Ovis aries: one gene and its partners. The protein of the gene in region 6 interacts with the protein of the main gene of each other region in a pairwise test. Links are inferred from orthologs where the notes say so. Each region holds a gene or a part of one and is shown on either strand. Other genes may lie near its edges.

Evidence for each region.
Region 1: the proteins of ITSN1 (region 6) and DLGAP1 interact in a two-hybrid assay, tested with the Homo sapiens proteins (2 studies listed by BioGRID and IntAct). The link is inferred for Ovis aries from reciprocal best matches to the Homo sapiens genes ITSN1 and DLGAP1.
Region 2: the proteins of ITSN1 (region 6) and SNAP25 interact in a two-hybrid assay, tested with the Homo sapiens proteins (2 studies listed by BioGRID and IntAct). The link is inferred for Ovis aries from reciprocal best matches to the Homo sapiens genes ITSN1 and SNAP25.
Region 3: the proteins of ITSN1 (region 6) and KIF5A interact in a two-hybrid assay, tested with the Homo sapiens proteins (2 studies listed by BioGRID and IntAct). The link is inferred for Ovis aries from reciprocal best matches to the Homo sapiens genes ITSN1 and KIF5A.
Region 4: the proteins of ITSN1 (region 6) and CYTH1 interact in a two-hybrid assay, tested with the Homo sapiens proteins (2 studies listed by BioGRID and IntAct). The link is inferred for Ovis aries from reciprocal best matches to the Homo sapiens genes ITSN1 and CYTH1.
Region 5: the proteins of ITSN1 (region 6) and AP2B1 interact in binary tests that used the Homo sapiens proteins (3 or more experiments, as listed by UniProt). The link is inferred for Ovis aries from reciprocal best matches to the Homo sapiens genes ITSN1 and AP2B1.

What each region holds. Positions count from the first base shown.
Region 1 is NC_056076.1:38,844,655-38,848,854, reverse strand, and holds the start of DLGAP1 (disks large-associated protein 1), read left to right. Parts: upstream 1-1,400; 5' UTR 1,401-1,672; intron 1,673-4,200. UniProt on the Homo sapiens protein: Part of the postsynaptic scaffold in neuronal cells.
Region 2 is NC_056066.1:3,369,300-3,372,799, forward strand, and holds part of SNAP25 (synaptosomal-associated protein 25), read left to right. Parts: intron 1-1,333; coding exon 1,334-1,451; intron 1,452-1,617; coding exon of another isoform or gene 1,618-1,735; intron 1,736-3,500.
Region 3 is NC_056056.1:162,087,638-162,091,137, reverse strand, and holds part of KIF5A (kinesin heavy chain), read left to right. Parts: coding exon 1-114; intron 115-412; coding exon 413-559; intron 560-1,160; coding exon 1,161-1,349; intron 1,350-1,708; coding exon 1,709-1,826; intron 1,827-2,201; coding exon 2,202-2,266; intron 2,267-2,366; coding exon 2,367-2,476; intron 2,477-2,865; coding exon 2,866-2,967; intron 2,968-3,465; coding exon 3,466-3,500. UniProt on the Homo sapiens protein: Microtubule-dependent motor required for slow axonal transport of neurofilament proteins (NFH, NFM and NFL). Can induce formation of neurite-like membrane protrusions in non-neuronal cells in a ZFYVE27-dependent manner.
Region 4 is NC_056064.1:52,903,694-52,907,984, reverse strand, and holds the start of CYTH1 (cytohesin-1), read right to left. Parts: upstream 2,801-4,291; 5' UTR 2,720-2,800; coding exon 2,698-2,719; intron 1-2,697. UniProt on the Homo sapiens protein: Promotes guanine-nucleotide exchange on ARF1, ARF5 and ARF6. Promotes the activation of ARF factors through replacement of GDP with GTP.
Region 5 is NC_056064.1:14,441,927-14,445,426, reverse strand, and holds part of AP2B1 (AP-2 complex subunit beta), read left to right. Parts: intron 1-430; coding exon 431-546; intron 547-1,685; coding exon 1,686-1,851; intron 1,852-3,097; coding exon 3,098-3,196; intron 3,197-3,500. UniProt on the Homo sapiens protein: Component of the adaptor protein complex 2 (AP-2). Adaptor protein complexes function in protein transport via transport vesicles in different membrane traffic pathways.
Region 6 is NC_056054.1:122,553,501-122,557,733, reverse strand, and holds the start of ITSN1 (intersectin-1), read left to right. Parts: upstream 1-1,433; 5' UTR 1,434-1,694; exon of another isoform or gene 1,695-2,814; intron 2,815-4,233. UniProt on the Homo sapiens protein: Adapter protein that provides a link between the endocytic membrane traffic and the actin assembly machinery. Acts as a guanine nucleotide exchange factor (GEF) for CDC42, and thereby stimulates actin nucleation mediated by WASL and the ARP2/3 complex.

The DNA of each region.
Region 1 (4,200 bases), on a different chromosome or scaffold from region 6:
CCCCCTCTTTAATGGAAAATCACTCAGTGAAATTGCGAAAAAGTGACTATTTATCTGAGTCATATTTTTATGGAAACTGTTTTTCACGTCTCTGCATTTTTAGAAGTGTTTTCTTTAAAAAGGATATTCTATTAATATTTATAATTAGATATCACACAAAGCAGATGCTAAATCTTATGCTATAAGTTTATGGGTACAATTACATAAAGAAGATTATATACTCTCTGGCATAACGTTCTCTCTGGCAGCCGTAGAACAAAGGACAGACCTTCTCCGTGAAGTCGCCCGTTCTTTATTGAGGGAGACCGGAAGACTGTGATTAACCACTATTTTAACTCTTATCACCCAGAACCTAGTACTTAAGTGGGTTGCGCAGGAGCTCGATAAACAATTGATTGACTCCATTCTCTCTTTGACCCAAATTTCACCTATTCACAGAATATTTATTTCTATTCTTACTTAGAAGCCTTAAGGATTTTTTTTTACTTTCAGAGCTCGTGGACTTGTGGTCCTCAGCCTATGCGAATGGGCGTGGCTCCCAAAAGCAGTTGAGATGGAGAGCTGAGCGTTTACTGAGGTCAGAGGACAGGAAGAAAAGGAATTCATTTCCCTATTATTTTTGGTTTTCTCTAAATACCTAGAGAAACCGGTAGAATATATATTGTGTAATCTAATCCACAATCCCCTCCCCCTGCTGCCCCCAAGAGCCTTCAGATTGTACAGTTGTACAATGGCCTTCAGTTGTACAGATGGGGAAACTGAGGCTCTGAGGAATAACTGTTTGGAAGTAAGGGCATGGGGTGTGAGCAGGCGGTCCTGGTGAGTCTAGACTAGGTCCACAACCCGGGCTCCTCCCTGGCGATTGCGTTTTCAAAAATTCTACTAGGGACCCCGAGGATGGAGAGAAAAGGGCAAACCCTTTACCCGCCTACGTGTTCTCCTGTGACAGAAAGTGTGGAGCGCTCCTGGTAAGATTAGGGGACCAGAGCTGGCAGGTGAGGCGGGGCAGGTTCCATTCTCCGCGGATGCAGCGCCGGGGAACGCACGGGGCACGCCCACCAACGCGCGGCCGCCTCCCGGTTCCTTCGCTGGGATGCGGGGCTGGCCTCTGCGTCCCGTGTGAGCGCACTTGCCGCCCGGAGGCGGAGCGGGCATCACCCGCAGGACGCCGGGCGCCTCCCCGCGGCCCAGGCGCACGTGCCGGGCCGCGGCCAGGGCTGGTGGCCGCACCGTAGTAGCCGGGGCGGGTGGGAGCGCGGGCTCCGGGCCTCGGCCGTCACTCGCCCGCCGGCTCCGGCGGTTGGGCGGAGGAAGCGCGGGACTCCTCCTCCCCACCGTATTAACATGCACCCAGGGGCGGGTGACCAGCCCAGCCTCGCCGCCCCAGCCCACCGCGTCCCGCCACTGAGCCTCCGCGCCAGAGGCGAGCGCTGCGCTCCGGGCGCCGCAATCCCGAGGACCCGGCCTCTCCGACACCTCCGGCCCCGGGGAATCGGCGGCATCCGCAGCGGGAGCGGTCGCAGCCGCCTCGGCTTCTCTCTCGAGTCCTTCGCCTCGCGTCGCTAAGAGCCTGTCCCGGCCACGGGGACACCTCTTTCGTCCTGCCTCCGAAGCTCGCGGGAACCGACGGACGGCCGCGGCGACCGAGGGCCGGACTGCGGGCAGCGGCAAGGTAACGCCGGGCTGCGCCGGGGGCTGGGGCGTGCGCTCGCGGAGAGGGCCACGGGAGCCCGGGCCGCCGCCACCGCCGAGTTCCCAGTGGCTTTTCCCAGCCGCGCGGTCGCCGCTGCTCTTGCCAGTGGAGGAACTCCGGGCTGGGCTCCCCGGACCGCTAGCCGGCTTCTCCTACCCCTTCCGCCGCCTAGGGCGCACTTCTGCGACCCCCGGAGACCCGGGGGCCGGCGCGCCCCTCTCCGGGTGTGCGGTCCTCGCGGCTAAACGCTCCCCAACGCCGCCCCCGGGCCGGGGCGCGGACGGATTTCTAATTGCGACAGGGTCCCAGAGGGGGAGGGGAGCTGAACGGCAGTCCCCGGCACGTCCACCGGCCGCTTTCCCACCCCCCGCCCCCAGCCCCCTGCACCTTGCCGGGGAGGAGGGGGCCGCTCGCTGCAGGGCATTTCTCCACCGGCTCCCGAGTCGTGGGCGAAGCAAGTTGTTGCACTTGTTTTCTGGGTGACATTTTGGCTTTGGGAGTGGAGACAGCCCCCTCCTCTGTGTGAGTGTGTGTGTGTGTGTGTGTGTGTGTGTGTGTGTGTGTGTGTGTGTGCGCGCGCGCGCGCTTGCTCAAGCAAGAAAGAGAAAGCCAGAGAAGAAGAGACACAAAGAGAGAGAGGCACACAGGGAGAGACAGAGATTCAGATAGACACACGGAGAAGCGCGGTCCTAGGGAGCGATCGCTGGAAAGTCGCCCCCTGCCCGCGGCCGAGGCCGAGGCCAATTCCTGGCCAGTCGCGGCGCGGCGGGTGTTCAGGGAACTGAACGAGCCCGAATGAGCCGGGACCAGGCAGGGACCCCTCCTCCGGGCCCGGAGGGATAAAAATTGCGCTTTCCTGGAGGGGCCGCCGCAGCTGCGGGGGTTAGACCTCGGGGCTCGGGGGCGCGAAGATGGAAATTCAGCCCGCAGGGCTGAGATGCTGCGCGCCTAGCCTAGTGCGGTGGCCACGGGAGGTGGTGGGAAGGGGCGGCTCAGGTGCCCGCGACAGTGTCTGTGCCGGCGCTGTTCCCGCCCCGCGCTCCGGGGCTCGCCTCTCCTCCTGGTCAGGAGGCTGCGGAATTTTCTGTCGGTTAGGGGAAGGAGTTTGAGGCGGGGAGAAGGCCGGGACAGCCCCCCGACCATCCCTTGCCCCTCGCCACCGAGGGTGAGAGGTTATCTCTTTTCTGGACTCTGGCGAGACTGTCGCCTCCTGACACCGTGAGCTGGTTCTGTTCTTGAGAGATCACTGCTCTCTGTCTCCCCCACCCCCCACCCCCCAGCATAACGCGTGAAGTTATGGAATTACAGTGATGAAAGGTGTATAATAAAAGTAACAATTGAAGACGGAGCTTTAGCTTTTATGGTCTTCGCAGATGGCTTTGTAAAGTGATGATGGATCAGTCTGGCTTTTAGTCAGACCCTGGGATGAGGAATGTTCAGAGCCAGGAAAGCAAAATTAGGAATAAATGCAAACATTTTGCAAATTGTTATCTTTAAAAAACAAGCAAACAAACCAGGAGGGAGCTAACTGCCTTTTTTCTGTTATTTATAGCCGAATTTCCGCTTCAGGGAGCAGCTTTCTATTGGCCTATGGAATTTTGCATGTATAGCGGCAGTCTTTATCCCAACTTGAACGGAAATGAAAGGAAGGCAAGAGATGTTACAAGTATCCTGATTTATCTAATGTCAAAGGATAAAGTTTTGCTTACATTTAAAAAAAGGAAATCCAAAGTCATGAAGAAATATCGAATATCTTGCAAAACATATGAAGTTTAAACGATTAGTTGACAGAAGCTACCCTTGGTTCAGAAAATTCATATTCTTGCATGAAACAGGAAAGTTCGTACAAGTCTAGTATCAATGGCCTTGTTAATAATTTCCTTTGGATGTATTAGTTCAGTTTAAAGTTGCTGCAGTAAAGTCACTGCCTTGAAATATTCCTAGTTCTAGATCTAAAATTCCATGACTGTTAAAAAAAAATGACTCACTTAAGAGAAACTATTAGCTACTTTATATGAGAAGAGAGTTGAGTGCCTTCAAATACAAGCTATTTCAAAAATTACATCTGTCTGTTTCCCTGTACATTTCTATCTAAGGCTAGTTTGCCAAATAAAATATTTGGTCTCAAAAATTATAGATGATATAAATACTGGCAAAATGAACTGGTAAACAGATTCTTTAAAAAATTATGGAGTAATTTTCTGACAACTCTTCAAATCACACACTAGCAATTGTGCTTTGAGGGGAATAATACTTGAGTATTCCTTGTGGGGAATTTTCTTGGTTTAGCATCTGTAATTTTTCCTTCAGTATAAACTTGGTTTCGCCAGGACTAAAACCTTGAAATGAGTGATTATTGAAATCAAGACCACCTTCTCAAAATATCATATGGCTCATACAGAGGAATAGACTAAACTGTCAGTTGTCCTACTTTCTAAGTCTGTCTAAGCTTAAGTATTTTATTGAATCAGATTTGGAAATACAAATTGCATGCTCTTTGATGTAAT
Region 2 (3,500 bases), on a different chromosome or scaffold from region 6:
CAACACAATAGCTTCTTATTTTCCAAATGGACAGGCAGTCTCTCCAGTTTGGAATGACAATTTAATGTGAAATTGTTTTTAAGTAATTATTTATGCCCTTTTATACAGGAAAATATTTACTAGTTTTATTCTAATCATATCTTTCTTCCCAGAGGCATAGGCATGCATGCATGAAAATATAGTTGAAAAGAGGAATAGAAATGTAATTAGGTTTTGTAAATAGCCAGCCAGGACATCCCACTGCTGCCTTAATGGTCTTATGCACCCAGTCACTATGCCGCTTTTGACTCTGTGTGACCCCATGGACTGTAACCCACCAGGCTCCTCTGTCCATGGGATTTTTCAGGCAAGAATACTGGAGTGGATTGTCATTTCCTCCTCCAGGGATCTTGCGACCGAGAGATGGAACCCTCATCTCCTGCAATGGCAGGCAGATTCTTTGCCACTGAGCTACATGAAAAGCCAAAAAGTCATAAAAGCTGTTTTAAAAATCACTTCATGTAACTTGTAATTTACTCAATTTAATGACACCACTTTTGAAAACTTAATCAAGTTGATGAATGTAACCCTGGCAACCTAGAAGTATGATTCGTTTTTATGGCCATCAGTCTATGTCTTAAGATACTGTCTAAGGTCAGCTTTCCTGGCACTGATGACTTAGTACTGTTTCATGTTCCAATCCATCGCCTTTCTCCAGGAATTTAATGGTCCAGTACCTGTAATGTTGCTGTGCTGATATTGCTTTTCTTACAGCTTCTATGAATTGAATATTCAAAACCAAAGACTGCCTATGGCCTGCCTTTGGCTAAACAGCCATTGCTAGGGGGAAGAAAAGATATGGTACCTATTGCTAATTATCACTATAGTTGTTATTCTTCCCAAAGGAGAAAGTGGATTATTTTCTATCCTTAGCTGGTTGAGGGTGCTAAAAACCAAAAGAGAGAGATGTTTTAAAGTTGAAGCAGACACTTCCTCTAGCACCATTGCATTTGAATGCCTAAAACAAACTAACACCCTATTTTCTTTCTCTTGAGTTTCACTGGTGTCTGAGTAAGTGAATATGCTGTGCTGTTTTCCTGGACATTCAGAATCAAGCAGGCTTATCTACTCCATCCCATCATGTCTGAACTATAAACTATATGAGCATCACTTTTGTTCATTTCCTTCCACCCCTGGCTGCACAGGGCATCGACAGCCGATTCTAGCAATGCATCTCCTCAGACAATGCATTGTAATAGCTCTCCCTCTTTCTCAAATTCCGTTTCATTTCTCATGTTCTGTTGAAAACCCCCAAAAAATTCATTCCACACTGTCATCCCTTTGTCCTAACCAGAACAACTCGATCGTGTCGAAGAAGGCATGAACCATATCAACCAAGACATGAAGGAGGCTGAGAAAAATTTAAAAGATTTAGGGAAATGCTGTGGCCTTTTCATATGTCCTTGTAACAAGTAGGTACTGGGTACCAGCTCTAATCTGTGGCGTCCAGTTTTCTTTCTTTCTTTTTTTTTTTTTTTTCTTTAATGTCAAAGTGAATGTCTGAAGTTTTGTCTTTTTTTTCTTTGTCCTTTTCCATCCGCTTCATTCTGTGGGGATAAAATACTTGTGTTTAATCAGAACAACTGGAACGCATTGAGGAAGGGATGGACCAAATCAATAAGGACATGAAAGAAGCAGAAAAGAATTTGACGGATCTAGGAAAATTCTGCGGGCTTTGTGTGTGTCCCTGTAACAAGTAGGTGCTGCCTGCCTGCCTGAAGCTTTGGTTTCCCAAGGCCCATCTCCAAGCCTTGACAATCTCATTCCTGCTGGTGCAAAGGCAGGATGAGTATGTGGCATGCAGAACAGATCAATACCGTCTCTAATGCATTCATCTCATAGCATAGATGATATTAGTGGGAGTAAACTGTTGATGCATTAAAAATCAGGCATACTACAGTGAAAGCTTCACTGTCAGCAACTTTTATTGATGAACGTTTCAACATTTTCCAGAAAGTGTACCTCAAGACAGAGACTAACCTCAAGAAAGAGGCGCCACCCAGGGAATTTTATGTTCTCTAAATCCCCGAAACCAAAATTGCAGATTTAGAAAAGACTGGGGGTAAGTTTGGAAGTTGAGATACACATATGTATCAAGGTTTGATTTTTCAGAAGCAAAAATTACAGGTAATTTGGCCCAAACAAGCATTCCATAAGTTAGAGAGTAAGTAAGACAGAGATTCACCCTTTCAACTGCCCACCAGTTACCAAATCTGGTCAGCGGTTAGACCATAGATGCCGCAGCTGCACCCAACGCAGAGGCAAAGAGTCCTTCAGCAAGAAGTGCTCATGCCTTAGCCAAATTGGGCCCATCCCTCTCCAATTCTTCCTTTAGGAAGATCTCCCGTACACTGGCCGAAATGTTGAAATGTGTAGATTTTGCATGCACGACATCACAAAACATTCAACTGTTAAGGTTCTGCAACGCTTTTTTGGAATGTAGCAGAAATGTGACATGTGGTTATAAAGGTTTGCAACAGAAGGAATCTGAAAATAAGTGTTCTGGAAGGTAGTCTTATTTGACTAGCAGTGGAAAACAAAAAATGCATGAGTGGATTGTCCAACATGCATTTGGAAGATTAAACCTGTTCCCCGATCCCCCTCACCCCTCCTACTTCCCTTTGAACAGAAGCCTTTTTCTAAAAGCTCTCCTGATCCTAGCTTTTAGAATAGAAATCGATGTCATTTCTAGCTGATTATATGACCATTCACATCCTTTAAACTTTGAGGCTGATTTAAAATATCCCACTTCCTGTTTAGGAGGGGAGGGGCTCAATTTACAAATAAATTTAAGTTTGTTTTTTTTTTTTAAAGAATGATCTACAGTAAAACCTGATTAACTGGAATCTAGCTAACTTGAACCTTTGAGTATATTTATATTTTTGTTTGTTTCGACTTTTAGCAAAAAGAGGCAAATAAACAAAGGGAAAAATCCCATTAGGGATTTAAAAGCATTTCTCTTAAAGGTCAGTCTAGGCAGTTTGCATTCTCTCACTCAGTCTTCATTCTCTAAGTTCCACATCCAAGCGGACCAAGCAATGAAAGCTGAGCTGCAGAGGAAAGGCAATCAGACATATCAAGAGAAACCAAAACCAAGGAATGCTTTGATCATGTTCCCTGCCCTAAGACTCTAAGGCAGGAAAGTGGCTCAAGGTCTAACAGATAGTCAGCCATCACTCTTGAAACTAAGTTTAACTCCATGGCCCACTGTGTTAAGAAAGTCCTATAATTCACCAAAATAACATTCCCAAGCATTCCAGTTAGTCAAGATTTAACTGTTCATCATTTTCAGTGGCCACTTGCCCCCAGGTGAGATGTCTACCTCTTTTGTGATGAATTTCATAGATACATTTTCCCCATCCACCAACTGTGTGGACAAAGGGTGGAGGCAGGCCCCCCTCCCTCCCTGTGACAGACTCTAATGCTCAGATGAAATCACGACCCCTGGGAATTCCAGGTAC
Region 3 (3,500 bases), on a different chromosome or scaffold from region 6:
GAAGTGCTACAGGCTCTGGAGGAGCTGGCCATGAACTATGACCAGAAGTCCCAGGAGGTCGAGGAGAAGAGCCAGCAGAACCAGCTTCTGGTGGATGAGCTGTCTCAGAAGGTGGTGAGTGGCCAGCCAGGAGCACCCTGACCTCAGAACACCTTCTGCGTCCAGAGGGAACTCTGCTTCCTAAGAGGGTGGTATCGTGTTTGTACCTTTGTGCTGTCCTTCAGTTCGTGGTGGGCCCCTCTCCCACTCCATCACGTTACCCTCCTGAGCATTCTTTCTTCCAGACCCTTCTGCAGGGCTTGTGTTCTCTTTGTAGCAACCATCAGGGTCATGCATGAAGGGAGAGGCCTCTGGCTGGTGGGGGAGGGAAGCAGGAAGATGGTGCTGGCATGACCTGAAGGACTGTCCCCAGGCCACCATGCTGTCCCTGGAGTCTGAGTTGCAGCGGCTGCAGGAGGTCAGTGGACACCAACGAAAACGGATTGCTGAGGTACTGAACGGGCTGATGAAGGACCTGAGTGAGTTCAGTGTCATCGTGGGCAACGGGGAGATTAAGCTGGTGAGTGGAGAAAGACGTGGCGGCCTTGTTCAGATCTTTCTTGTTCTGGGCACTGGTGGGAGGTGTAGGTGAGACACTCATGTCCTCAGAGATACTGAGAGGAGGGGGACAAGATCCAGGAAGCACACCTGCAAACTAGACACAGGAAAACACGCAGAGGTTTGCATAGACTCAACTGAAATACACATTTTAGATCTACATACCTGGTGAAATTTACATTGCTGGATAAGGAAGCAGTGGAGATGTGCTTTTAGCAGGATTTGGAGACGGGGGCACAAAATTAGGAATGATATAGAGAGATCTGTGGCAGTGACGATGCCCCATCTGTGTGATCAAGTGGATCAGTCTGACTACAGAATATCCTGTTTCTCTATAGAAGGGAAGAGGGTGGCTGTCAGAACAGATCGTTGGATGCAGAGAGGGGGATTCAGTGTGAAAAGCCAGGTGGTACAGAGCTGCTAAAAGTTGTTTGGAACATACCTGTCCCACTGGAGTCCCTGTGCCTGTGGGTGTGTGTGGGGCTAGGCCGAGTGGAAGGAAATGGATAAGGGGCTTCCCAGGAGCAAAGAGGCACCTCCTCCCTCCCATGTTCACCCCACAGCCAGTGGAGATCAGCGGGGCCATTGAGGAGGAGTTCACGGTGGCCCGACTCTACATCAGCAAAATAAAATCTGAAGTCAAGTCTGTGGTCAAGCGGTGCCGGCAGCTGGAGAACCTTCAGGTCGAATGTCACCGCAAGATGGAAGTGACTGGGCGGGAGCTCTCATCCTGCCAACTCCTCATCTCCCAGGTGAGTGCCAGAGGTAGAGAGCCTCTGGGTGCCGTGGGAGAGGCAACTCTGTGGTTGTGGGATGACTGCTAGCACCGATGTTTCTGTCAAGGGCCTAGGGTCAACTGAAGTCAAGGACAGAAGAGCTAGGGGAAGCAGGAGAGGGTCCAGGCTAGAGAATTGAAGGTTCAGGGGGATACTGCCCTCTGAACCAAGAGAGTCTAAAGCAAGGGTCTCCAGAGGAATGGCCCTCAATCCTGCATCCTGGTGGAAGGTGTAGCAAGGAGCGGGGAGAGCTGGAGCTTGTGGAGGTCTGTGCTGCCTGGAGTTGGGCCCTTGACTCTATCTATCTTCTTCGTCACCAACCCTCACCCCATCAGCATGAGGCCAAGATCCGCTCCCTGACGGAATACATGCAGAGCGTGGAACTCAAGAAGCGGCACCTGGAAGAGTCCTATGACTCCCTGAGTGACGAGCTGGCCAAGCTCCAGGCCCAAGGTGAGGCCTGCTTAAACCTCCAACCCACCCGTCCTGGGACCTGAGATCAGAGAGGGTGTTAGGAGGCAAAGCGACAAACATCACAGGAAGCTGCCTATCAGCACACTCACCAAAGCATTAGACTGAAATCCTGGAGTCCAGCTCACATGCTGCTTAGCATGCTTTGGCATGTAGCTCATTTTACGTGAACCATAAACCCTCCATCATTCTCTGTCCCTGCTATATGAAATTGGACAATCCTCACCCAGAAGAACATCCCTGTGGGCCCATTCTAAGGGTAAATGTGCCCTGCCCTGCCCGGCGCTCTGGTCACAATGTGAAGTTCTGTCTGGAGGTGGTAGGTGTGATATAAACCGCTTCCTCCCTCTCCCTCAGAAACTGTGCATGAGGTGGCCCTGAAGGACAAGGAACCAGACACCCAGGACTCAGAAGATGTGAAGGCAAGTGGGGAAAGTGTTGGGGAGACTGGGGTGTGGCAGGGCCCTCACCAAGCTGGTGGCTGGGAGTCTGGCATTGAGCTTGGGTGGGGTTGTGTTGCAGAAGGCCCTGGAGGTGCAGATGGAGAGCCACCGGGAGGCCCATCACCGGCAGCTGGCCCGGCTCCGGGACGAGATCAATGAGAAGCAGAAGACGATCGATGAGCTCAAAGAGTAAGAGTTCCCCAGGGTGGCTCCAGTCTCCACCTGGTCCCCTCACCTTGCTGGGTCCACGCACACACTCCCTCTTGCACCAGGATCCAGTTCTTTAACTTCTATGGGTCATGCCCCAGCAAAGACATGACTTTGCAGTCCAGCTCCAGGAGGTACAAGGAGTGAGGACTAGTCCCTGTGCTCCAGGCTTCTCTGATTTGATAGCTCAGGGCCCCTTATCCTGCCATGGAAGCAGCAGCCTGAGTCCGCCTCTAATATACCCCGAGGTAGATGCGTCAACCCTACAAGGACTTATGTGTACAAGAAGGAAAGTGTTGGAGGGGTCAGTCTCCCCTTTGTCCCTCACTGACATCTCCTTGTTCTCCCCAATACTTCCTTGCTCTCCACAGCCTGAATCAGAAACTCCAGTTAGAGCTGGAGAAGCTCCAGGCTGACTATGAGAAGCTAAAGAATGAAGAACATGAGAAAAGCACCAAACTCCAGGAGCTGACGTGAGTGACGGGTCCGCCTGCAGACCTGAGACTACATGGGCTCAGATGGCTACTCACACATGCCACAGGGATAGGACGTGATCTAGATGGGGATACGGTGATCACAGGAAGCCAGGTCCTCAAAAGAACAACTTGATGGCAAGGGGGAAAATAAAGGAGACTTCTGTTCAGTATTAGCTGACATGGAAAGATGTGGGTGATGTTCCATGAAGTGTAAAAAGCAGGTTATCAACAGTAGGAATGGTATAATCTCGTAACATTTATGTGAGAGCCACATGCATGGAAGAGTCTGGAAAGATGGACACCAGAATGTTCACTGTGGTTTGATCTGCAAGTGGTAGAATCATGGGCTTTTTATGGAACTCATCTTACTTTTCTCATTTATGCACTGTGAACATGAATAACTAGTTTAGTAAGTAATAAAAAAATATAGATCAAGGAATGGAGGAGGGACAGAGGAGCAGGGTGGCCCTGAGTGCTTTTTATGTCTTCCTCCAGATTTCTGTACGAGCGACATGAGCAGTCCAAGCAGG
Region 4 (4,291 bases), on a different chromosome or scaffold from region 6:
CAACTCAGGATCACAGGGAGTGAACAAGAGAAAGGGCTGCTGAACTCAGTGGTGTGGTTTCTGGGTCAGCACAGAACATCAAAGAGTATGCAGTTAGGAAAAGCCTTCTGGTGAGTTTTCAAAATTCTCTTTCGTTGAACAGAGAAACTCTAAGACACATTCTCTTTCTTTAGCTTATTATAAATGAGTTATGCTTCAAAGGTTTTATCTAGCAAGGTGATAGCATGGAAATCATAAACCCTGTCCCCAAAGATACAATGTTAAAAAATCATGGTAGTGACCTAGGCTGACTCATGAACCACCAATGGAGGTTCCGAGGGAACCCCCTGGACCTGGCATTCTATGCACTGTTTGAGTCCACAGCACCCACTTTAGTTTGAAAGGTGGAATGTGAATAGTTGTCTTATCTTTTGAGGTAAATTCTCTGTAAAACCTAGGAGAGAAATGGAAAGTTCTGGAGACTGAGGCAAACCTTAAAAAGAACTAGGAACCTTTTTCTTGTTATGATCATCTTGAACCATTAGGTACTTTTTGTGTGGTAAACCCAATGAGTGGGGGAAATCTTTAAATCAACCTTTCTGCTTCCTCCAATATACGAAGAATATGTTTTTTTTTTAATTGTACAAACAGAAAGAAAAGAACAACTTCTTCCTCATCTTTATGTGTGGTCAGCAGAATAATGGGCCCCAGAGATAGCCCTGTCCTAATCCCAGAACCTGGAAACACGCCGCCCCTACGTGGCAAAAAGGGGGTTACCATTGGAGAACTAAGGCTGCTGATCCTTATCCTTATCAGGTGGGTCCAATGGCGTCACAGAGCCCTAACTAGAAGAGGCAGAAGCCAGACAGAACTGAGAAGATGCTACCTGCTGACTCTGAAGGTGGAAGGCAGCCAGCAGCCAAGGAACGGGGGCAGTCTCTAGAAGCTGGAAGAGGCAAGGAAACAGATGTTCCTGTTAGGACCTCCAGAAAGGAACACAGCCCAGTAAACACCTTGATTTTAGCTTAGTGAGACCAAATTTGGACTTCTGACCTCCAGAACTGTAAGATAACAAGTTTATGTTGTTTGTGCCAATCTGTTACAGCCGCCACAGGAAACAAATACACCCTGCTTCCATTCACCCTTTCTGAGCACGAATTCATGCCATGCCTGGTGGCAAAGCAGTCATTGTGTTCAAAGCAACCAGACCAACAGCTTCCTGCCTCGAGCGGTGGGTAAGACCACCAGGAGAGGGCATGAAGAAAGCCTGGATTAAACAGCAAGAGATGGTACAGGAGCACGCAAAGCTGGAGAAGGCTTCTCCTGGGTGGGCAGAAACAGACACCTAAGTGGGGCTGAAAAGTCCTTTGGGATCAATCGTGGGTGTTTTCTCTTTTTTCAATCACAGAGGAAAAGCACACACTGCTTTTACTTGGAAGGTAACCAGGGGACATCTGATGGACACCGATCCCACGTGCTCTGGCCTTTCCCCTGTCTGCCACTGTGGGTCATAAACCCACCTATTGCGGTCAGTGGTTCCTCAATGACTTACTCGTAAACAAACAGAAAAGTAACAAGGTGCTTCACCTTTCACATTTTAACATACCCCACAACAAAGCTTGCTCCCTCAGAGCTTAAGAAACAAACGTCGCCTATGTCACTTAGTCAAGAAAGCGGATTCGCTTCCACTAAGCCACACAAGCATTTCAAACTGCTGTCTGTACTCTGCTTACCAAACCACAAAACTTCACCACTTGTTCTATCTGCCATTCTTTCATCTCTTGGGAATAAAACGTTAAATAAATTAACGAAAGCATTCCACATAGCCTTCTGCCAGCCTGGCAATCTGAAGCCATTTGACAGACGAATGCCCTGCGGATGGCCAACAGTTCCCAGGTGAGGTCAGCAGAAGGAGGCTTTGGAAACGGGTAGTTTTGTCAAGCGTTCGCTGTCGGTGTGGCGTGAGGGCTGTGCCGCGTCTCTGGGCACAGATGAGAAGGCAAAGTTGGGTTTCTCGGCGCCCCTCGGGCTCGCCCCGCAGGCGCTGGGGGAACAGCAGCCCCGTTTCCGCGGAGAGGCGGTCAGCCTCGGACCCTGGGGTGGCCGGCGGCAGGAGATCCCGGCCCCGACGGCACCGTCAGGTGGCAGCCTGTCCACTCGGGGTTCGCTGCCTGTGTTTTCTCATTTTTGTTTCTGAACAAAGACATGGACCAGGGTACATAACTTGCCAGCACCGAAGGGGCCGGAAACTACGGAGAACGGCCGGGGGAACTTGAGCGTTCGCGGGGGAGGCTGGGCCTGCGCGGGACAGCGGCCCGAGACCCCCGCCCGAGACCCGGACCCCGAGACCCTCCTCTGAACCCCGCCCTAGACCCCGGCCTCGAGACAGACCCTCACCCTGGAGGACTTCCGCCTCGGAGACTCAGGCCCCGAGACCCCGGTCCTACGACTGCGGCCCCAGAGACTGGAGCCCGGCGACCCCCAGCGCCGGCCCCCGAGACCCGTGCACCCCGACGTCGGCCCCTCATCACCCCTCAGCCTTTAACACTCGGGGCCCCCGGTGCCCCCTGCCCTGAGGAGGCCCCCGCCCCGCCCGGCTCGCGTCCGGCACCACAGTCCCCGGGAAACGTGAGTCGCCTGAGGCGCGGCCAAGGCGCCGGGCCGGTGAAGGGAGGAAGGGAGGGGGCGTCCGCCGGCCGGACCGAGGGCCGTACTGACCGTAGCTGTCGTCTTCGTCCATGGTGCCGGCGCCAGGCTCCGCGCCTGGGCTCGCCGCTCGCCCCAGGTCCCGCAGCTCCCGGCCCCGTTCGCCCGGCGAGTCTCAGAGCCCCGCCCCCGGCCCCAAGCCCGCCGCCCGCCGCCCGCCCCTCGTCCCCCGCGGGGCGCCCCGCCCGCGGCCTGCGCGCGCGCGCACACACACACACACAGAGCCCAGCACGCGGCCGCCTCCCGACCCGCGCCTGCGCACGCGCGCCCGCCCAGACCCCGCCCCCGGGCCTGCGGCCCCGCCCCCGTCGCCCGCGCGCGCACCCCTGGGGCCGCGTCCTCTACTCTGCCCAGGACTGCGTACGCGCGCCCGCCGAGGCCCCGCCCCTCTGGCTGGCCCCGGGCGCCGAGGCCCCGCCTCTGACCACGCCCCAACCCGAGGCCCCGCCTCGGCCGCCTCCGGGGGCCCAGCAGGTTTCGGATTTCCTAAGGGTGGCGCAGGCCTGGGAAACAGACCAGAGCCCAGCCGCCCACAGAGGTACCAAGGTCGTGTCCGGCCACTCAAGGGCAGGGTGGTCCTCGCTGACGTTAGTTTCACAGGTCCTGCTAGTCCTTGGCCGAATACCAGAATATTTTGAGTTCATTATTTCTGCAGTCTGAACCTTAGCACCGTGAATGTCATGAGTTCATTGCCTTTATATACTTCCTTTTCTTTGTCCTCTGAATGTACCCCGATCAAATTTCAAAGAGAGGCACCTCAGCCTCACAGCATGTCAGGATTTTGGTGACCTTGATTCCTGCGACTGTTGGATTCATACGTTTCTAGGCTGTGCCTTACATGTTTTATTTGCCTGCACTGGGCTGACCGACCAATCCCCACCCACTGGTTAGACTGAGCTGCCCTTTGAGGAGCCTGGGCAGTAGTTCTGCACCTGGAGGTGGGGACATCACCAATTTTTAATTCAGAAAAATAAACGAAAATGCTGCTTTTTTACTTGTTCCTGGATGGATATGCTCTTTCTTGATTTGGTGCTACACATAAAAATTATAAGTGTGTCATTTGGAAGGATCACACAGGGATGGTCCAGGACCCTCCTGGGGGGCATGACCCTGGACCCCCTAGCACAATGTGCTGTACTGGGGGTGCTGCGGGAGAAGAGCTCAGCCCAAGGTCCTGGCAATGCCCCTGAAATGTCAGGGAATATCTCCATCAGGGGGAGTTGTGACCCTTCTCAGCAGTCTGTTTCCTTACAGACCGTTCCAAAACATGCCTCCCGGTAGACAACAAAGGAAAGTCCCTTTCCTCTCATGGAAAAGGAGTAAATGAATGAGGAAACTCTAGGTTTTCTTTCCACATCTGCTTCCTATTAGCTCTGTGATCTGGGCAAATACCTCAGCCCCCTGGACCTGTCTCACACCCGTGAAATGAAGCATCTGCCTATAAAATCCAGGCTCCTGCCCAGTACTGATCTGTGATCTGTTGCTGTCTTCTGCTTGACTTCAGCACAGCTGACAATGTTTTTGTTTGATGAGATGGATTCCAACATTATCAGTCTAAGGGATCCCAATCTTCACATTCCATCAGGGTGCAGCTCTGGCCCACCCT
Region 5 (3,500 bases), on a different chromosome or scaffold from region 6:
AAATGTGCTTGTCTGCACAAATGAAATTTGGCAGTTTCATTTCAAGAGGTTTAAAGATGCCCTCTGTCTTGCTCATTCATGAACTGCAGATAAAGACCTCCTACTCCGGTGTATTCTGTCATTCTTACTCTTTGCTCATACCTTGACTTACGCTATCTTCTCTTTTCTGTCATCCTGGCTATCCAAGATGATTTTGTTCACTTGAACTGACTCTTTTGTAATGAGTAAAATTTGGGGTGTATCTTGAACTTCTGTACATCTCCATCAGATAACCCTGTGTCTAATACAGTATGATCAAATTAAGTGCCTCATCTTTTAATCTAGTTTAGTTGATGTACCTGGATGTTCTCTCCCCCCACCCCCATTTTTTTTTTGTTGAGGTTGTGTTATTGGGTAGATATCTGACTTCTCATTATGTTCTTCATTGTAGCAATCTGCAGAGCGCTGTGTGAGCACGTTGCTTGATCTCATCCAAACCAAAGTAAATTATGTGGTCCAAGAGGCGATTGTTGTCATCAGGGACATCTTCCGCAAATACCCCAACAAGTATGTCCAAATACTTCTGCCCCTCTTCCTCAGTTCGTTTAGGAAATGTTTAAATAAAGCACTTTGAGACTGGCTAGGTAAGAATTATTTGGTCATAATTAAATGCTTTATTAAAAATCAGAAACGTGTAAGTTTGTGAGCACGAGGATTAAAATCTCATTTTTACTGTTTTATCACTTTTAGAAGAATTGAAGCTCTGTCTGAATATGCATTGTCGATTGACATATTTTTAAAGTTAATCAGGTTCTTTGGTGATGAAGTTACTATTAAATAGGATACTCATGTCTGGGCATAATCCATTTTATGCTTCTTACCAAGCGTAATTAATAAATGTGCCCCCTTTCCACTCTCAGAAATGTCTCAGTTTGAGTAATATGGCCACCCTATTGTAAAATCCAGGAAGGTGACAGCTTCACTATTCACTTTGTATGTTACCTAGTACTTTTAGAAAATTGTAGAACATGTAACGATAAATTATCAGCGTTTTAGACCTTTTCTCAAGTATGGTAGCTGCTTCCATTAAGATATGCAAAATCTACATTTTCACTTCACAGAAAATTTTCATGTTGAGGTCTTAGTTTGTGAAACATACACTTTTTCAGATTTGCTTTTGAAGGCAAGCAATTAAAGAATCTGAAAGAGTGAAATAAGCAGATTCAAGGGGGAGGAGATATATGTATAATTTAAGACTGATTCGTGTTGTGTGGCAGAAATCACAACACTGTAATGCAGTTACCCTCCAATTGAAAAAAAAAGAGCAGATCATCTAAGCACCCTAAATGTCATTTTACCTTATAATCATAGAGATAGGTTGTGCTGAGGCTTCTGACTAATCTTTAAAGATCATATGAAATGAAGTGACTTACAATTAAGTTAGTTTAATGGTGGACTCAAAATTAGAAGAAATATTTTAACAAGGTAGTGGTTTATTAAGTGTTTTATATATTTTTTTTAATTCTAGAAATTGTATTTTTGGGAAAAGGATATGCTTTTACCACTCTGTCAGGAAAGAGGGGTTGGGTTTCTAAATTTCTTGATTAAGTGTGGATACCTTGTCCATGGTTTTGCTTTTAGTCTTCATTGTTAAATACAGTTCTCAGTTTTGCCCTCAGTAACCATAGTCCATTTTGTTACATCAGATACGAAAGTATCATTGCCACACTGTGTGAGAACTTAGATTCACTGGATGAGCCAGACGCTCGAGCAGCTATGATTTGGATTGTGGGAGAATATGCTGAAAGAATTGACAATGCTGATGAGTTACTAGAGAGCTTCCTGGAGGGTTTTCATGATGAAAGCACCCAAGTAAGTTCTCTTCTATACCTAATGAAATAGATGTTTGGGGGAGGATTTCAGGAAAGGTAAAGGTTAGGCAGTTTTGTGTGTCTGAACTTATATATATATATGTGTATATATATATAGTCTGTAGTGTATATATAGTGTGTATATGTGTGGTGTGTATATATGTGTGCATATGTTCATTTTTTTCCTGAAAGCAAAAGGGGTGAGCTTTTTCAGTTGTGCTGACGTCTGTTGGAACAAGCCTGTTTAGCTTACGCTAGTGGTTCTCAAACTTTAATGAGCTGTAGAAACACCTAAGCACTGGTATTTAATCTCTGTTGAAGCTACAGGTTGCTGGAACCCACATTAGAGTTTCTGACTCAGTAGGCCTGAGATGGTTCATTTTTACAAGGTTCAGAGTGGTGATGCTGCTGCTGCTGCTGCTGCTGCTCCAGAACCATGCTTTGACAACTACTGGCTTAGAGCGATAGTTAATTATAATTTTCTGTCACCTAAAGATGATTGCCCATTACTGTCAATAATGGTTGTGGCTCGGTTACAGCTGGAGTTTTTGTCGGGGTGAAGGCTGGCATGTGCATTTTGAAAAGAATCTTCCTTCCCACCTTCTATCTGTCCTCTACCAAAATTGAGAGACCTTGAGAGACTTTTGAGTCAAAGGCCCAGAGAAGCAGATAAATTATTAAACCTTTTCCCCCTGGTGTTCATACTCACTGCAAATTGAAGTTCATAAATGTATTCTATCATAGTAATTTTAATAGGCCCTGACAAGGAATACATACAAGCCAGTAATTTCATGGTTCAGCAAGCCACTCTTAATTGACTGTGATCTAGTATAATTCTGTGGTCTTGGCTCTTGCCTCAGTATGATAAACGATTCTCCAGTTCCCCAAAAGTTGTAGCTTTCGGTGGAAGTAAATAATAGAGAATTTGGTCAGGAACCAGTTTTATTGCCATCAGCATGTTAGCATATACTTTAAGAAATATAGATGATTAATCTGAGGCATAAACAAACAGGCAGTTTTTGATGCCAAAAATGCAACTTGGAGGTAGGAGTCTAGTGAGTTTTCAGTTGATGAAAACCTTTGACTGCTATTGTTGATACTGGCGGAGTTTTCAACCTTTGTCTATTAATCAAAACCAGAAAGGCCTTGTAGTAAGTCAGTCAGTCATGTTTGGGGAAACACCACTTTGGAATTGGTGGTGTGGAATAATATGGATGCCTTTCACTTCATCTATTAAATTTATTTAGGTGCAGCTCACTCTGCTCACTGCCATAGTGAAGCTGTTCCTCAAGAAACCATCAGAAACACAGGAGCTGGTGCAGCAGGTCTTGAGTTTGGCAACACAGGTAAGAAATCTGGAAAAAGCATGGAGTTGATTTGTCTTGTTTTAAATTCTTGGAAAGTGTAAAACTTCTCCCAAGAAGGTTCATTTGGGGAGGTTTTGAATGTAAAGAGTACAGTCTTTAGATTCTGTTAAAAAAAATTCGAAGCAGTACTTCTTTTACATATTCTGCTGAATTAGAGGAAAAGACAGTGGCACCCCACTCCAGTACTCTTGCCTGAAAAATCCCATGGACTGAGGAGCCTGGTGGGCTGCAGTCCATGGGGTCGCTAAAGAGTTGGACATGACTGAGCAACTTCACTTTCACT
Region 6 (4,233 bases):
AGCATCATAGTCTGCACTTCAAAACGGTTCTGAGGTGATTCTCACGCGTTGCTCCAGAGTATTCCTCGGTTTAGCTTAAATCTGGAGGGCAAATCTGGACCTAGAGTTACATAAACCCGAACGCCCCTGTTTTACGTAATTGTTCAACGGGGAAAAAAAAAAAAGTGACGGAGGAGAAAGCAGTATTATGGAACCAGTAAGGCAGAAAGAAAAAGAAACTCAAAGTATAGAAACAAAAAGACGCGGGAGTGGATAAACTCCAACCTGGGAGTCTCGGTGGAAGGAGACTTTTGCTTCCATGAAAGTGGAGGAAGATGCAAACTAACATCCACCATCAAAACCAGTAAAAACCAGGAAATCGTCAGGCAACTCAAGTCTCTCCCGCCCCTCAGCGGCCTCAGCTAAGCCAGCTAGGCCTGAGCCCAAGAGGTGTTAAGAAGGTTGGGGTGCGACGGAAACCACCCTGCACCCCAGGGCTGGACGGTCTCGCGGGGCGTCTCCCAAGCTTCCGCCCAAAGGCCGGTTTCCCAAGACACGTAGCGCGTCTCTCGGTGCTCACCTGCCTCGGAGCGGTTCTAACGGCCTGCAGCTTCACCTCCGCCACCTTCAAGCCCCTCAGCAGAGGACCCGCCCCCTAAGCACTAGAGCCTCTTCCCATTGGTCAGGCCGCTCGTCAGTCTCGGACTCTAGAGACCGCCATAGCAACCAAACGCAGAACTACATCTCCCGGCATGCTTTAAGGCGACGCGCTTGGGGCTACCAATTAATGCGAGAAGACCAGCATAGCAACCGAACGCGGAACTACATCTCCCGGCATACTCCAAGGCGACGCACCTGGGGCTATCAATCAAGGCGCGAAGTCCTAGAGGCCGACGGGTTCAGCTTTATGTAAATTTGTTCAAGACCACACCCTTCCTAATTCCAACCACATCCCCACCACCTTCCCGGGACTGTGCCCCGCCCTCCTTGTGCCGCCACATTGTTATCTCCTGTGACACCTGCCGTTAGTTGAAGACGTCCTAACTTGTACCTCGCCTAGCACAGCATCGCCAAATGGCACCGAGACCATGGAACAAAACGTCCCGAAGCCCCACACCAGACGCCTCTAGGCACGTCGGGAAACCCTACGCCAGACGCCTGCTTCGGGAAAGGGGGCGGAACGGCGGGGGGCGGGGGTTGGGGGTGGCCAGGTCCCGCCCCCTCTGAGCTTGCTGATTTGTCGATCCGGCTGTCACTCCCTCCTCTTCCAGGTTTTTTTTTTTTCAGTTGCGTTTCCCCCGCGGTGGGCGGGGCTAGAGGGAGGGGGCGAGAGGAGGTGTGAGCCCTTTCTTTCGATTGGTTGTTTTTTCACTGTCCCCACCCACCCCCCGTGGGCGGAGACGGAGGGGCGGAGAGGGCGCGGGGGAGGCAGGTCCCGGGGGAGATGAGGAGATAGGCGGGAGCGAGGGACTGAGGGAGAGGAGCGAAGGGAGGCCGAGAGCTGAGGTGGAGACGGGAGGGCGCGCAGCTTGGTTGCTCGGTAGTACGGCGGCTCGCGAGGGAGAATCCCGGGCGGACTCCCGGACGCCCCGAGAGGCGGGCGGGGATGGTGTGCGGGGCTGCGGCTCCTGCGTCCCCTTTCCGCGGCGACTGAGCTGCACTGATTTTTTTTTTTGTCCCCCTGAGGCGGCAGCGTGGACCCGCCTGGAGATGAGGTGAGGAGAGGGCTGGACCGCGTCGGCCTGCCTTGCACCCGGCAGGCGGCCGGGGCGAGGGTGGGCGCGATGGCCGCCCGGGACGCCAGTCCACCCCCCAGCCCCGACCCCGGGGCCGGTGTGCGCGTCCCTCCCGGCGCCCTTCACCCTGAGCCGCACGCCCGGGAGGCGCCCTGTGACTCGTCCTTCCCATCCTCCCGAGCCGCCGGGGGTGGCTGGGTGGGTGGTGGTGGTGGCGGCCGGCTGGCACGCGCCGGGAGGCCGGGGCTCCGCGGCGGACCGAGGCTGGGGGGTGGGCGGCGGCCGCGGGACGGGCTTCTGGGGGTTGAATGGGCATCGGTCGCCGTGGCCCGCCGAGCTGGGGGGAGGTCCCGTCCTTTCTCCAGGGGCACGCGGGGCAGTGGGGTCCCTTGCAGGGCTGACCTCGCTGCCCGCGGTCGCCCGAGTGGGGCGGGCCGGCCGAGCCTCGCCTCCCCGCCAGCCTGCCGGGGATCCGGAATGCCCGGCCTCTCCTCCCCGGCTCATCCCTTCTCTCTCCTCCGCCCGCAAAAAAAAAAAAACAAAAAACAACCTACCCTGTCAGTGAAGGGCAGTCAATGCCGTTTTGGCCCCGCGTCCTCCAGCTGGGACTGACTTGACTCCGGTGGTATTTCACAGAAAGCGGCTCATCCTTTCAAGGGGGGAGCGCGTTCCCGGTGTCGGCCGCTTCCTTTTCCCCTTCTTTACGCACTGACACGGTTTTACAGTGTGGACCGAAGCCACAGTTACCAGGCTCTGTCTGGCTTGACCGAGGAAAATGCAGTCAGAATCCCCAGGAAAAGGTAACCGACGAGGAATGGGGTTGCGCCTTTCCCTCTTCTTGTTTGCCTTTTGGATTAGGAAGCACCTTCGTAGATTACATTTCCTATGGGCATCTTTTGTTGTGATTCATACTAAAGGCTTTGTTTTTGAAGAAAACCATTAGGGGCGTCTGTGTTGAGTTGAAGGCTCTGGAGATTTTTTGATAGCCTCTGAAAATGAAAGTTTCCTTTAGAACTTTGCCATCCTCGGTGCTATTCTGGAGGCAGCACCAGCCTGAAAATTTAAACAGATGCGACTCCGAATAGTTGCGTTTCTTTGTGCTTTATCTGCTGGCATCCTGCTCTTAATGTTTACGTGGTCGGGACGTCCAAATAAAACAAGTGCAATAAAAAGTATAGATAATAAAAAACAAGTACCGTGCCAAAAATGCGTCTGGAAAATCTCAATTCTGTCATCGGGGAAACAGTTTTTACTAATCCCTTTGAAAGGATGAAGACCAGGCTCAGAGTTTATGTAGTGGACAGGATCTGAGGGTATGAAATGGGACCATGGAGCCAGCAGGCCGGCTGGTATATGTAGTGCTACTCTTACTGTCTGAAATAGGAGTATATTTGTTGGGATACCCTTATTTTTTATATGACTTAAGGTGCAGAAGCTTAGTACCCCCCCTAAAGTTATGATTTCTACTTATTATGGAGAACAAAATACTGTGTTTTGTTTCTAAATTTTTAATAGTTCACCTGAAACATGTTATTTTTGAGTTTGCTTATAACAAAAGAAGAAAAACATTTTTCAGTATTGAGTTCTTTCTGTAGGACAGTTGTAAAGAACCCCAAAACTTTAGGTAATCCAAATTCAGAAATGAAGGACACTAATTTAGTGATGGTCCAAAAGCTATTTAAGACTTCTATAAGTAGCTGCAGTAGGGTGAATTTCTGATAGAATTGTTTTTGAAGGCTATTTATTTAAGAATGTATCTATTGAAATTTCTGAGGCACATGGTACCTTCACAAAAGTCTATTATTATTCTGCCTGAGTAAGAGAGGAAATGAACACATTTTTGATGTACTTTGGAACCCTGTGGATTGTTCAGATACTAAGCATTGTGAAATAGGGCATAAAACAAGTGGTAGCAAGTTAGTTCCCTGAAATGTTTGTGTCTCTTAGCTTTTTTTTTTTTTGCAATTGACTAGCAATTTCCTTTTTCTTAATGCTTATCCCTATTATTGGAAATAAAACTCTGCTTAAATTCATGTTTTCTCCAAATTACTAGATTGAGGCAAACTCAAATCTCCATAAAGAGGGTTAAGGAGGAGGTGTGATTAAATCCCTCTACTCTTACTCAGCTTTTTAATGTGGATTTGTGAATTATAGGGAATTAATTACAGGTCGGTCGGGTTTATATTACTCAGTTCACATTCCACTGCCGTAGGGCTCTTCTCTTGTGAATGATCTTTCTCTTCTGAATAGTTCCACTTACTGGCAGGTTTCTCAACGTGTAGACCTCAGATCACTTACATCACCATAACCTGAAGTTCTTGGTAAAAATACAGACTCCTGGAATCTGATTTCCAACAAGCTCTCCAGGAAGTTTTCTTACACAGCAGCATTGGAGAACCACTGGCATCGTGGTTCCTTCTCACTGAGTGGCCCCAGACTATGTCCTGAAGAGGATGGCGTGTCTTTCAAGTGACAGAATAGCTTTCATGCCTTGGACATCTAATAAAACACCATGACC